Linked DNA regions of Xenopus tropicalis. The protein of the gene in region 2 binds, or shares a complex with, the protein of the main gene of each other region. Links are inferred from orthologs where the notes say so. Each region holds a gene or a part of one and is shown on either strand. Other genes may lie near its edges. The genes, in order: tada2b, taf4 and taf7.

Region 1 (3,689 bases), on a different chromosome or scaffold from region 2:
CCCCAGAACTAAAGGGGCCATACACGGGCCGATTCTAGTTGCCCTTTAGATCGATTAGGCAGAATTATCTGCCCCTATTTGGGCAGGTTTGATTTTTCTGTCGTATTGGGGACCGCATTGGCTCGTTGATGCGGTCCCCGAACTGACGGCGCCTATACCCGCCGTTATAATTCAATCATTTGGCCCCAGGGCCAAACGACCAATCAGCCTGATATCTCCCGCCCGTAGGTGGAGATTTCTTACCGTGTATGGCCACCTTTACCCCGCTCAAGAGGGCAAACGCCAGGGACCCCACTTTGGAAGGAAGGGACACCTGGCCAGTATCCATGGTAACCAATCAAATTATTGTTATTGTTGCTACAGCTGGCTAGTTAATTGGTTGCTATGGGTGACAGCCCATGTGCAAATCTGCTAAGTGTTGATAAATTAGCCCCACTATATTGCAGTACAGCTATTTGCTATTCAGTGTTTATATTATAGATAGCCAAACACTTGCTGCTGCAGAACTGCACCTCTCTCACTCACTCACTTTTCTCTCACTCCAGTGTCTGCATCCCTTTCCTCCTGCACAGAGTCGGGCAGAGCAGGATCGCTGCTCCCTGTTGGCTCAAGCTCCATGTCTCCCTGTCACCTAACTGGTGTATTAGTTACTACTGGTTTCCAAGGCGACGGCGTTAAGAGGCGGTACTCATTCAACCACATTGGCGGCTTTCTGCCAATGGTGACTCACTCCCATTGGTTTATGAAAAGCTACGCAAAAGCCGGAGGCTCTCAGCCAATGGGCTTCGAGGCCAACCCTACTCAGCGCGGCGCATGCGCTTCGGGACAGGGGAAACGATGGGCGGGGCGTAGTTTGCAGAGTCCCCCAACAACAACTCAATATGGCGGACCTGAGCAAGAAGTACTGCGTCTACTGCTTAGCTGATGTGACCAGCCTGCGTCTGCGTTGTACCGAGTGTCAGGACATCGAGCTATGCACAGACTGCTTCTCAGCGGGGGCAGAGATCGGCAATCACCGCCGGTGGCACGGCTACCAGCTGGTAGACGGCGGCCGATTCACACTATGGGGGCCCGAAGCAGAGGGAGGCTGGACCAGCAGGGAAGAGCAGCTGCTGCTCGATGCAATCGAACAATTTGGATTCGGAAACTGGGTGAGCAGAATCAATGGGCAAGTAGGGGAGAGTAGATGCTGCTCGATGGCATCCAACCTGTTCGTTTGGGATATCATTTCCTGGGATTTGGATGGATGGATTTATCCTTGTTTAACTACCAATTTACCCACAATTATTTTTAGAATCCTGCTACATTGTTTCAAGAGGCAGAACCAGCAGTGCAGAAAAGGGCAGCTACTGATTAGAGTTCCCTTTACTGTTTAGGGGTTTACACTCCCTTTAAACTCAGTGAGTATAGAGTAAGAGAAGGGAACAGAGGGTAGAAATAAGGGCCTGTCCTTGGAAGTTATTGTTGGTAGCTGTGTTCATGTGATTTTCCTATTACGCATTTAGAGGGTTAGGGGGTTTTCTGCACTGGTACATTGAGCACTTGGGACTTAGGGCTGTGAGGCCCAACTACATCTTATCCAATCCGGTATGAATTGCTGGTGTAACAGTAGGCATAGATCAGTGTCAGACTGTTGCCTTCGCTACTATGAGAGCAAACTGGCGCCTCACAGAGTCTGTATGTCTGACAGCCTCCTTACCACCCCACAAATGGAACTGCCTGATATATCCTACCCCTAACTTAAGATGTCCACCTTTAGCGAAGGCCTAGCAGTGTAGGTACATAGAATTAACCATATTAGCAGCTAATAGTACCTATAAAAATGGCACTGACCTTACTGATTCTCACTCACCACTGCCAATCCCTGAATATGTGCTAAACCTGGGAATGAAATAAGCAAATACTTTGCCTATTAGTTACATAGGGTTGAAAAAAGACCATTGTCCATCAAGTTCAACCCATCCGAGTAAACCCAGCACACAACCTATACTAACCAATCTATACACTCACATACATAAACCATATATATACAACCAGTAATACTAACTGTAGATATTGGTTAACATGTGCTTACACAGTGAAAATAGCTTCTTGCAGCCCCAGGTGCACGCTGTACCCACTGCCCGGGCAGATAAATTCAAGAATGAAGAAAACAGCAGCACTCCGGTTGTTTTGAAAAATGTGAATCTTTACTAAGTGCCAAAGGCAACGTTTCGGGCTTCACTCCAGCCCTTTATCAAGGCTTGATAAAGGGCTGGAGTGAAGCCCGAAACGTTGCCTTTGGCACTTAGTAAAGATTCACATTTTTCAAAACAACCGGAGTGCTGCTGTTTTCTTCATTCTTGACTAACTGTAGATATTAGTATCACAATAGCCCTGGATATTCTGCTTGTTCAAAAACTCATCCAGGCCCCTCTTAAAGGCATTAACAGAGTCTGCCATTACCCCATCACTAGGAAGGGCATTCCACAGCCTTACTGCCCTCACCGTGAAAAACCACCTACGCTGCTTTAAATGGAAGCTCCGTTCCTCTAATCTAAAGTGGTGACCTCTGGTGCGTTGATTGTTTTTATGGGAAAAAAGAACATCCCCCAACTGCCTATAATCCCCTCTAATGTACTTGTACAGAGTAATCATGTCCCCTCGCAAGCGCCTCTTTTCCAGAGAAAACAACCCCAACCTCGACAGTCTGCATATAAAGGAATCATTTTGTTGGGAAAGATGTTTCATTTTGCCTAAGGCATTGGTAGGATGTTAGAAAAGGTTGACTTGCCCTTCATATCGACCATCTCCCACAGTAGAAGAATGGTAGTCCACCCCATGCTCCCCATCTGTGCAATACAATTACCATAGTGATTTAATTGATCATTTTAATTTATATTTGTTTGAATTTTTGCCTGTTTTTTGTTGATGTTACCCTTTTCTTCTCAGGAGGATATGGCTGCACACGTGGGAGCTTCCAGAACACCAACAGAAGTAATGGAACACTACGTCACCATGTATATTCATGGCAACCTTGGGAAAGCGTGCATTCCAGACAGTATCCCCAACAGAGTAACTGACCACACATGCCCCACGGGAGGTCCGCTGTCCCCGAGCCTAACTACCCCGCTGCCTCCTTTAGACTTGACAGTTGCAGATCAGCAGCAGCTGGGATACATGCCACTCCGAGATGACTATGAAATCGAATACGACCAGGACGCAGAGACTCTAATTAGTGGGTTGTCTGTGAATTACGACGACGATGACGTTGAAGTAGAACTAAAAGAAGCCTATGTGGATATGTATGTGAGGAAACTTAAAGAAAGGCAGCGGAGGAAAAACATAGCTAGGGATTACAATCTTGTACCTGCCTTTTTGGGTAAAGATAAAAAGGACAAAGACAAACCAGCCAAACGGAAAATTTCCAAAGAGGAGAAGGAGCTCCGGTTAAAACTGAGGCCGCTGTATCAGTTTATGTCAAACAAGGAAATCGAGGACTTTTTCGAGAACATGCACAAAGAGCGAATGCTTAGGGCTAAAATCCGGGAACTGCAGAGGTATCGCCGAAATGGCATTACCAAGATGGAGGAATCTGCAGAATATGAGGCTGCCAGACATAAACGGGAGAAAAGGAAAGAAAATAAGAACACTGCGAGCTCCAAGAGAGGGAGAGAAGACGGTAAGGAGAGTGAATTTGCTGCCATTGA
Region 2 (3,655 bases):
AAGGAAATGTTTTGCAAATCTGATTATTTTGTCTCTTTTTTTTCCACCAGGAATGGTCCTCGTGCGGAGTGAGAGCGGGCAGCTCCTAATGATCCCCCAGCAAGCCCTGGCCCAGATGCAGGCTCAAGCCCAAGCCCAGGCCCAAGCACAAGCCCAAGCCCAAGCCCAGTCGCAATCTCAGAACACCATGGTTCCCCGTCCTGCCACTCCAACCAGTGCCCCTCCTGTACAGATTTCTGCAGTGCAGGTAAGTGCAGTCAGACCGGCTCCCTCAGTGTTAGAGAGATACCATAACTATGGCACATAGGGATTCCCCTGTACTAAGCACAATTTCAGCAGGAACAGCCCCCTAAGTTTGCTCATAGCCTGTACAGAGAGATACCATAACACTATAGCACATAGGGATTCCCCTGTACTAAGCACAATTCAGCAGGAACAGCCCCCTAAGTTTGCTCATAGCCTGTACAGAGAGATACCATAAACTATGGCACATAGGGATTCCCCTGTACTAAGCACAATTCAGCAGGAACAGCCCCCTAAGTTTGCTCATAGCCTGTACAGAGAGATACCATAAAACTATGGCACATAGGGATTCCCCTGTACTAAGCACAATTCAGCAGGAACAGCCCCCTAAGTTTGCTCATAGCCTGTACACAGAGATACCATAAAACTATGTGATACTTAATGCCAATGTATTGCTGCCCTTGCCTTCCTGCCTAACTCCTCTTCCTGACATTGCTTCCCAGTCTCCAGGAGCGCCGCTCTTAGCCAGACAGGTTACACCAACTATCATCAAGCAAGTCACTCAAGCGCCAACAACTGTACAGCCCACCACAACACTACAGCGCCCTCCTGTTGTACAGGTAATTACTGCCTTCATGGGTTCATCCATTCTGTGCCCAGCTCTGCTTTAAAGGGGTGGTTTACCTTTCAGTTAACTTAGTATGTCAATACCAAGCAACTTTTCAATTGGTCCTTATTTGCCTTTTTGTTCAGCAGCTCTCCAGTTTGGGATTTCAGCAGCTGTCTGGTTGCTAGGGTTTGGTTTACCTTATCAACCAGGCAGTGGTTTGAATGAGATGCGAGGAGAGGGGACTGAACAGAAAGATAAGGATTAAAAAGTAACAATAAAATTGTAGCCTCACAGAGCAAAGGGCTTTTTGCTGCCGGGGTCAGTGACCCCCCACTGTAGATGTAGAAGAGGAAGGCAAATAATTCAAAATCTATAATAATGAAGACCAATTGCAAAGCTGCTAGGAACAGGGCATTCTACAAGATACTAAAAGTTACCTTAAAGATAAAACCACCCCTATAATTAACTGTTAGTAGGTTATAGAACGGCTTATTCTAAGCAACTTTTCAATTGGTCTTCATTATTTCTTTTTTTATAGTTTTTGAATCATTTGCCGCCTTCTGACTCTCTTCTGCTTTCAAATGGGGGTCACTGACCCCATGTAAAAAAAACCAAAGGCTTTGTAAAACTACACATTTGTTGTTACTGTTGCTTTTTACTACTTGTCTTTCTGTTAAGCTCAACTATTGATATTCCAGTCTCTCACTGAAATCAGTGCCTGGTTGCTAGGGTAATTTGCACCCTAGCAACCAGATGACTGAAATTGCAAACTGGAAAGCTGCTGAATAAAAAGGTAAATCGTAAATAATAAAAAATGAAATACAATTGTCTCAATATCATTCTCTACATCATACTGAACAACCCCTTTAAGGTTCCCTATGGTTTATTATTATTATTTATTTCTCTCTTCTCCCCACAGAACCAGATAGTGCTCGGCAGCACTGCACAAACTGCCACTTTGGGGACCGCAACTGCCGTGCAGACTGGTGCGGCTCAGAGACCTGTGCAAGGAGCTGCTACCCCTGCCGCAGCCACCACGGTACTGCCATTGCTTCTAGCTTCTTGGGGCGCACATACGTGCAGTCTGTATGACCGGACACTCATTACATGTTTCTATATGTCACGCAGGAAACCATGGAAAATGTGAAGAAATGCAAGAATTTTTTATCCACGCTAATCAAGTTAGCTTCATCGGGTAAACAGTCCTCTGAGACTGCAGCTAATGTGAAAGAACTAGTGCACAACCTCCTGGTAAGGCTTTGCCCCTTTGTACCATGCTGCTTCATGCTATTCATGTAAGAGTAATGTCACAATGGGCAGGACCAACCATGCTGCTTCATGCTATTCGTGTAAGAGTAATGGCATAATGGGCGGGACCAACCATGCTGCTTCATGCTATTCGTGTAAGGGTAATGTCACAATGGGTGGGACCAACCATGCTGCTTCATGCTATTCTTGTAAGGGTAATGTCACAATGGGCGTTACCAACCATGCTGCTTCATGCTATTCCTGTAAAGCTATTCATTCTATATTATTATTATAAATAATAATAATAATATTCATGTAAGGGTAATATCACAATGGGCGGGACCAACCATGCTGCTTCATGCTATTCCTGTAAAGCTATTCATGCTATATTATTATTATAAATAATAATAATATTCATGTAAGGGTAATGTCACAATGGGCGTTACCAACCATGCTGCTTCATGCTATTCATGTTAGGGTAATGTCACAATGGGCGGGACCAACCATGCATCAAGCATGAATGCATTACATCTTATATATCTTGTCTAAAAAATACATTTTTCATTTGGCAGGATGGGAAAATTGAAGCAGAGGATTTCACGAGTAGATTGTACAGAGAACTGAATTCTTCACCTCAACCTTACCTTGTGCCTTTCCTGAAGGTAAGCCCCGCCCCCGCAGGGAGGGACTTTTGAAAGCCGCCGCCCTCTCCCTGTGACTTTAATGCTTAATCTGTGCCCTCCTTCCCATTCCAGCGGAGCCTCCCTGCCTTGCGCCAATTAACGCCAGATGCAGCAGCCTTCATCCAGCAGAGTCAGCAGCAGCAGCCCCCCACGCAGGCCACGACGGCCCTCACCGCGGTGATGCTGAGCGGCTCCGTGCAGCGCACTGCTGGCAAGACCACCGCCACCGTCACTAACACATTGCAGCAACCGGTCATCAGCCTCACACAGACGGCCCAGTCCAAGCCGGGGCAGCCCACCCCACTGGTATGTACATCCACTAGCCCCTTTGTAAAGCAGTGCTATTCAGATGTTTTAGGTTCAAGCTCCCCTTTAATGTGTGGCCCCCTTGACTCATACAGGGTCCGATCCGCTCGTTTGGCCAGGTTCCCAAACGAGTGCATCATCTCCCAATATGGCCACCAAAGGTGGGTGATCTTGGGCTAATTCGATCGTTAGCCCCCAGGGTGGGCATATCAGGAGATGAGTCCTTCAGACCGATTCGGCAGATTATCTGCCCGTTTATGGGGTCCCCCCCAATCAGACAGGTTTCATTTTCCTGACGGATCGGGGTCCGCATCGGATGTGGTCCAATTGGAAAATCAAACTTGCCTGATCGTCGTCATGTTGGGGGTGCCCGTAGTACCCCAATCTGCCTATGTATGGCTACCATAAGCTTAGCCTAGGCAACCAATAAGTGTTCACCCCTTATCTCGCCATTATTAACCTTCAAGGTTGGCTTCCGCTGCAAAAAGGCATTCTTAAAGGGGTAGTTCACCTTTACAATAACTTTTTAATATGTTGTAGACATTGGTAGTCTGAGACAGTTTGC
Region 3 (3,599 bases), on a different chromosome or scaffold from region 2:
ACTTTTTTATTTTGCTCCACATTCCTCTGCAAACATCCATTAAATATGAGCTTATATTCTTATGTTCTTAATTAGCTTTTTTAAATTATTCTTATTCCCTCCATCTTAAGCTCTAACTTGTCTTTCCCAACATGTCTCTCTCTTTCCAGCAGTGGAGAGGGAAGAATTGCGTCAGATCTTTAATGACATCAGTAGTAGCAGTGATGGAGAAGAAGAGGAGGGAGAACGCCAGGAAGAAGAAGATCTTAATATCATGGAGACTGAGGAGGAGCAGAGGGCAGGACAGGATGGTCAAAAGGGAGGCACTAACCAGATTGGTGAGAGTATAGCGGAGCACAAGTTTTTTTTTTTTTTGTTTTTTTTATAGTGAAAGTAATATTTTAGCCAGAGAAGAATGCAGAACTTATGGGGAAGTTGATCTTAATGATATCCCATTTCCCTATGTATCAGTTCTGGAGATGCAGAAACAGCTGGAAAATTTACAAAAGAAACTGCGAGAGACACAGGAAAGAAGAAAAAGACAAGAAGAGCTTATAATGAAGGTTGAAAATGTAGCACTGAAGGTAACACATGATTGCAGCACTGTTGCCTTGTGTGAGAGAGAAAATGTATATAAGTGGATTCAGTAAATGCTTAACTATGGTCATTTTATGTTTAGCAATATGTGTGTGTGACATTTATGTAGGCATGCAAGATAGGGTAGGATGGACAGGATAGGGCTCCTGTTTATGTAAGAAGTGTCTAAGAGCAATTTTTTCCAGGCATATGAGAACCTGGGCATTCACTCCTTGCAAGAGAAATGGTTGAGCACAATGTTCAAATACACATGAAGTAGAAGGGCCGGGCACACTCCTTGTGCAAGACTACTAATGCATACCAGAAACTGGAAGTTACAGGCAAACAAAGATTGTAGGGTATACAGTATGGATGTAAACAATGGCCATGGGGGTCTAGGGGTCTGGGCACACTCCCTCTGTGTGAAAGATGGTGAATGTAGTTACTCTTTCTGTTTTTGGTTGATTATTATAGATGGGTTGATACAAGTTTGATGATTGTATCTGGCCATGCAGCTATTTCACACAAACTTTCTTTCTTTATTTTAGACTCGCTTACAAGCTGTGTTGGATGAGTTTAGGCAGCAGGAGGAAAGAGAAAAGCAACAGGTATGTATTATGGCTTTATAGTCTGTGACCCATTGCTTAGATTTATCTTATTTAAGGGACAAAATGAATGCTGTGACATAGTTCCAAGTTTTTTCCATTGTTTTGTGTTTTGCAGTATGGCTGTATATTGGCGACATTGTTATTTGCTAACTGTGTGCAGGGAGACTGAGAATTATTGCTTATCAAGTGCAGTAATTCTCAGTGTGTATCCCCAAAAGCAGACAAAAATGCATACAGTCACGCTACTGACAGAAAATAGAAGATGACAGACTGTGCATCTTGAGACTGTTTGAGGCTGTTTGTTTTTTCCTAGTTGACTTAGGGCCCCCAGTGAATTTGTATGGGCCAGCATCTCTACACAGTTGTCCAGTATCCAGCTGATGTCAGAAGAATCAAAAGCTGGCCCATGCTTTTAAAACTTTACTGGAGTAGATAGAAGAAAAGGATAGTGTAGAACAGTCTCTCCTTTCACACAAGCATTATTATTCTGTCATTGCCTTGCTAAATCCCATAGTTTGATATAGCTATTCTTTTGTGCATGCCCGTTTTTCTGTAGCCAGAGGCATTATAAATGTACCATTTATATGGTTTATTTTTGTAAATATATTATAATGTTAATATGGTAATGGGAGGTGATAAAGTGTACCAAATGTAGCAGTACCTATTTTACACCAGTCCTTGTGATAATCTCTTCTCTTTCCTAGCTGACATCCCTGCAGGAGCAGCTCGAGACTCTAATAGAGAAATAAAGAGGTTCCGATGTGGTTTCCTTGATATTTATGACTTGGCCTCCCTGCTGTAGATGTACTGCTTTTTACCACATCCTCCAGAATGTTCACTTTCAGAGGAAATCCTTCCATTTAGGAAACAATGAGGACTGGGTCTCCCTTAATTTTGTTTGTGCTGAAAATTATACATCCAAACAGATATTTTACTTTAGGCCATTCGAACGTGACTGCTTGAGGATGTTTAGATCCTGTAATGGTTTGTGCTGTGACTAAATGCCTGCTGTACAATACAGAAAGTCCAAATAAGCAAAAGAACCTTACATGTATGATTTTTTTTCGTTTTTACTGGAATGTTCAAGGTGCAAGGATTATAACCCCAGTATTCATAATTTAACCTATTTGCCTGCTGTTTGTTTCCAGTCCAACAGTGCGTTACACTATGGGGCACATTTACTAATCCACGAACGTCCGAATGCGTTTCGTCGCCGTCGCGACTTTTTCGCGAATTGTCGCGACTTTTTCGTCACCGTCGTGAAAAAATCGGATTGGTTTTTCCGCTGTTTACAATTGCTCAATAAGAAAAATTGCAACGGCGACGAAAAAGTAGCACAAAATACGATAAAGTCGTGACGGCGACGAAAAAATCGTGCAAAATACGAAAAAAACGCGACGGCGACGAAAAAGGTGCAAAATTTTCATTTACAATCCGATTTTTTCCCATTCAGGATTCGGATTCGTGGATTAGTAAATGCGCCCCTATGAGTATACAAGTATACAAGTATCCGTTTTGCTGGGATTTTTCTGGAGAAAACATTAGAATTTTGCCTTTGTTATCTAACAGCTGTTTTCTTTAATATGGAAGATTTTGATGCCTACAAACAACTATGGTCAGATTGTGAACCCAAATGTTTGAGTTAGAGCCCATTGTGAACTAAGCACATTTACGAATGGCTTGTTCGTAACATTAGTGTTAAGGCAGTGTCACTTTGCTTTTTTTTTTTAAAAAAAAAAAAAAAGAATATTGGCAGCTACAGATGAACTGTAAATGATTATTTTACACTTTGTCATGTCTGTTTTTCTCCACCTATTATTCCATCCAAATAAAAGTCTTTGTTACCCATAATTTTGTGATTAGCTTCTTTGTGGTGAAACCCATTTTTACATCAGGCAGCTTGCTACTGGGAAGACGGACAATTTTCAAGGATACAATGTGCGAAGAAACATACTTGTAATACTTCCTAATTCCTTAAATAACGATTAATCACAACCCCCACACCTTCATTTTCATGATTATTTGTTCAAACCAAAAAATTCTAACTCCAGTGCCAATGGAATTCATGTACAATAATGTGACTGGATTAGCACTGTTTTCTTCCATTTTTTTTTATTATAGTTTCTTTAGGAACCTCCCCTATGTTCTTTAGGAACCTCCCCTATGTGAAGCAAGTGTCTTTTAGGGTACATAAAGAGCCCCTGTAAAGTTCAGCTATGCTCCTGATATCGTATATGAAGCTTTAACACCAGGTTTGAGCATTGTATGTGTGGTGAGCAACAAGAGCACAGTTTTGCTATCCAGATGTTTGCTTAGATAAGATCCTTCCATTAATGGCTATGCACTGAGTGCATGAAATAGAGCTAAATACTGCAGTTTTCTCACCCAAAGCAGTGGGTGCATGCTGGGGCATCTGGAGTTTCTGAGCCTGCTCCC

The links.
Region 1: taf4 (region 2) and tada2b share a complex: the UniProt entries of both Homo sapiens proteins name them as parts of the TFTC-HAT complex. The link is inferred for Xenopus tropicalis from reciprocal best matches to the Homo sapiens genes TAF4 and TADA2B.
Region 3: taf4 (region 2) and taf7 share a complex: the UniProt entries of both Homo sapiens proteins name them as parts of the TFIID basal transcription factor complex. The link is inferred for Xenopus tropicalis from reciprocal best matches to the Homo sapiens genes TAF4 and TAF7.

The regions. Positions count from the first base shown.
Region 1 is NC_030677.2:24,535,460-24,539,148, forward strand, and holds the start of tada2b (transcriptional adapter 2-beta), read left to right. Parts: upstream 1-788; 5' UTR 789-881; coding exon 882-1,151; intron 1,152-2,931; coding exon 2,932-3,689. Other genes in the region: ccdc96 (coiled-coil domain-containing protein 96), read right to left, coding at 530-618. UniProt on the Homo sapiens protein: Coactivates PAX5-dependent transcription together with either SMARCA4 or GCN5L2.
Region 2 is NC_030686.2:4,375,485-4,379,139, reverse strand, and holds part of taf4 (transcription initiation factor TFIID subunit 4), read left to right. Parts: intron 1-50; coding exon 51-247; intron 248-746; coding exon 747-863; intron 864-1,772; coding exon 1,773-1,892; intron 1,893-1,981; coding exon 1,982-2,104; intron 2,105-2,673; coding exon 2,674-2,763; intron 2,764-2,856; coding exon 2,857-3,090; intron 3,091-3,655. UniProt on the Homo sapiens protein: The TFIID basal transcription factor complex plays a major role in the initiation of RNA polymerase II (Pol II)-dependent transcription.
Region 3 is NC_030684.2:37,700,019-37,703,617, forward strand, and holds the end of taf7 (transcription initiation factor TFIID subunit 7-like), read left to right. Parts: intron 1-149; coding exon 150-317; intron 318-450; coding exon 451-563; intron 564-1,103; coding exon 1,104-1,163; intron 1,164-1,867; coding exon 1,868-1,912; 3' UTR 1,913-2,360; exon of another isoform or gene 2,361-2,558; 3' UTR 2,559-3,014; downstream 3,015-3,599. UniProt on the Homo sapiens protein: The TFIID basal transcription factor complex plays a major role in the initiation of RNA polymerase II (Pol II)-dependent transcription.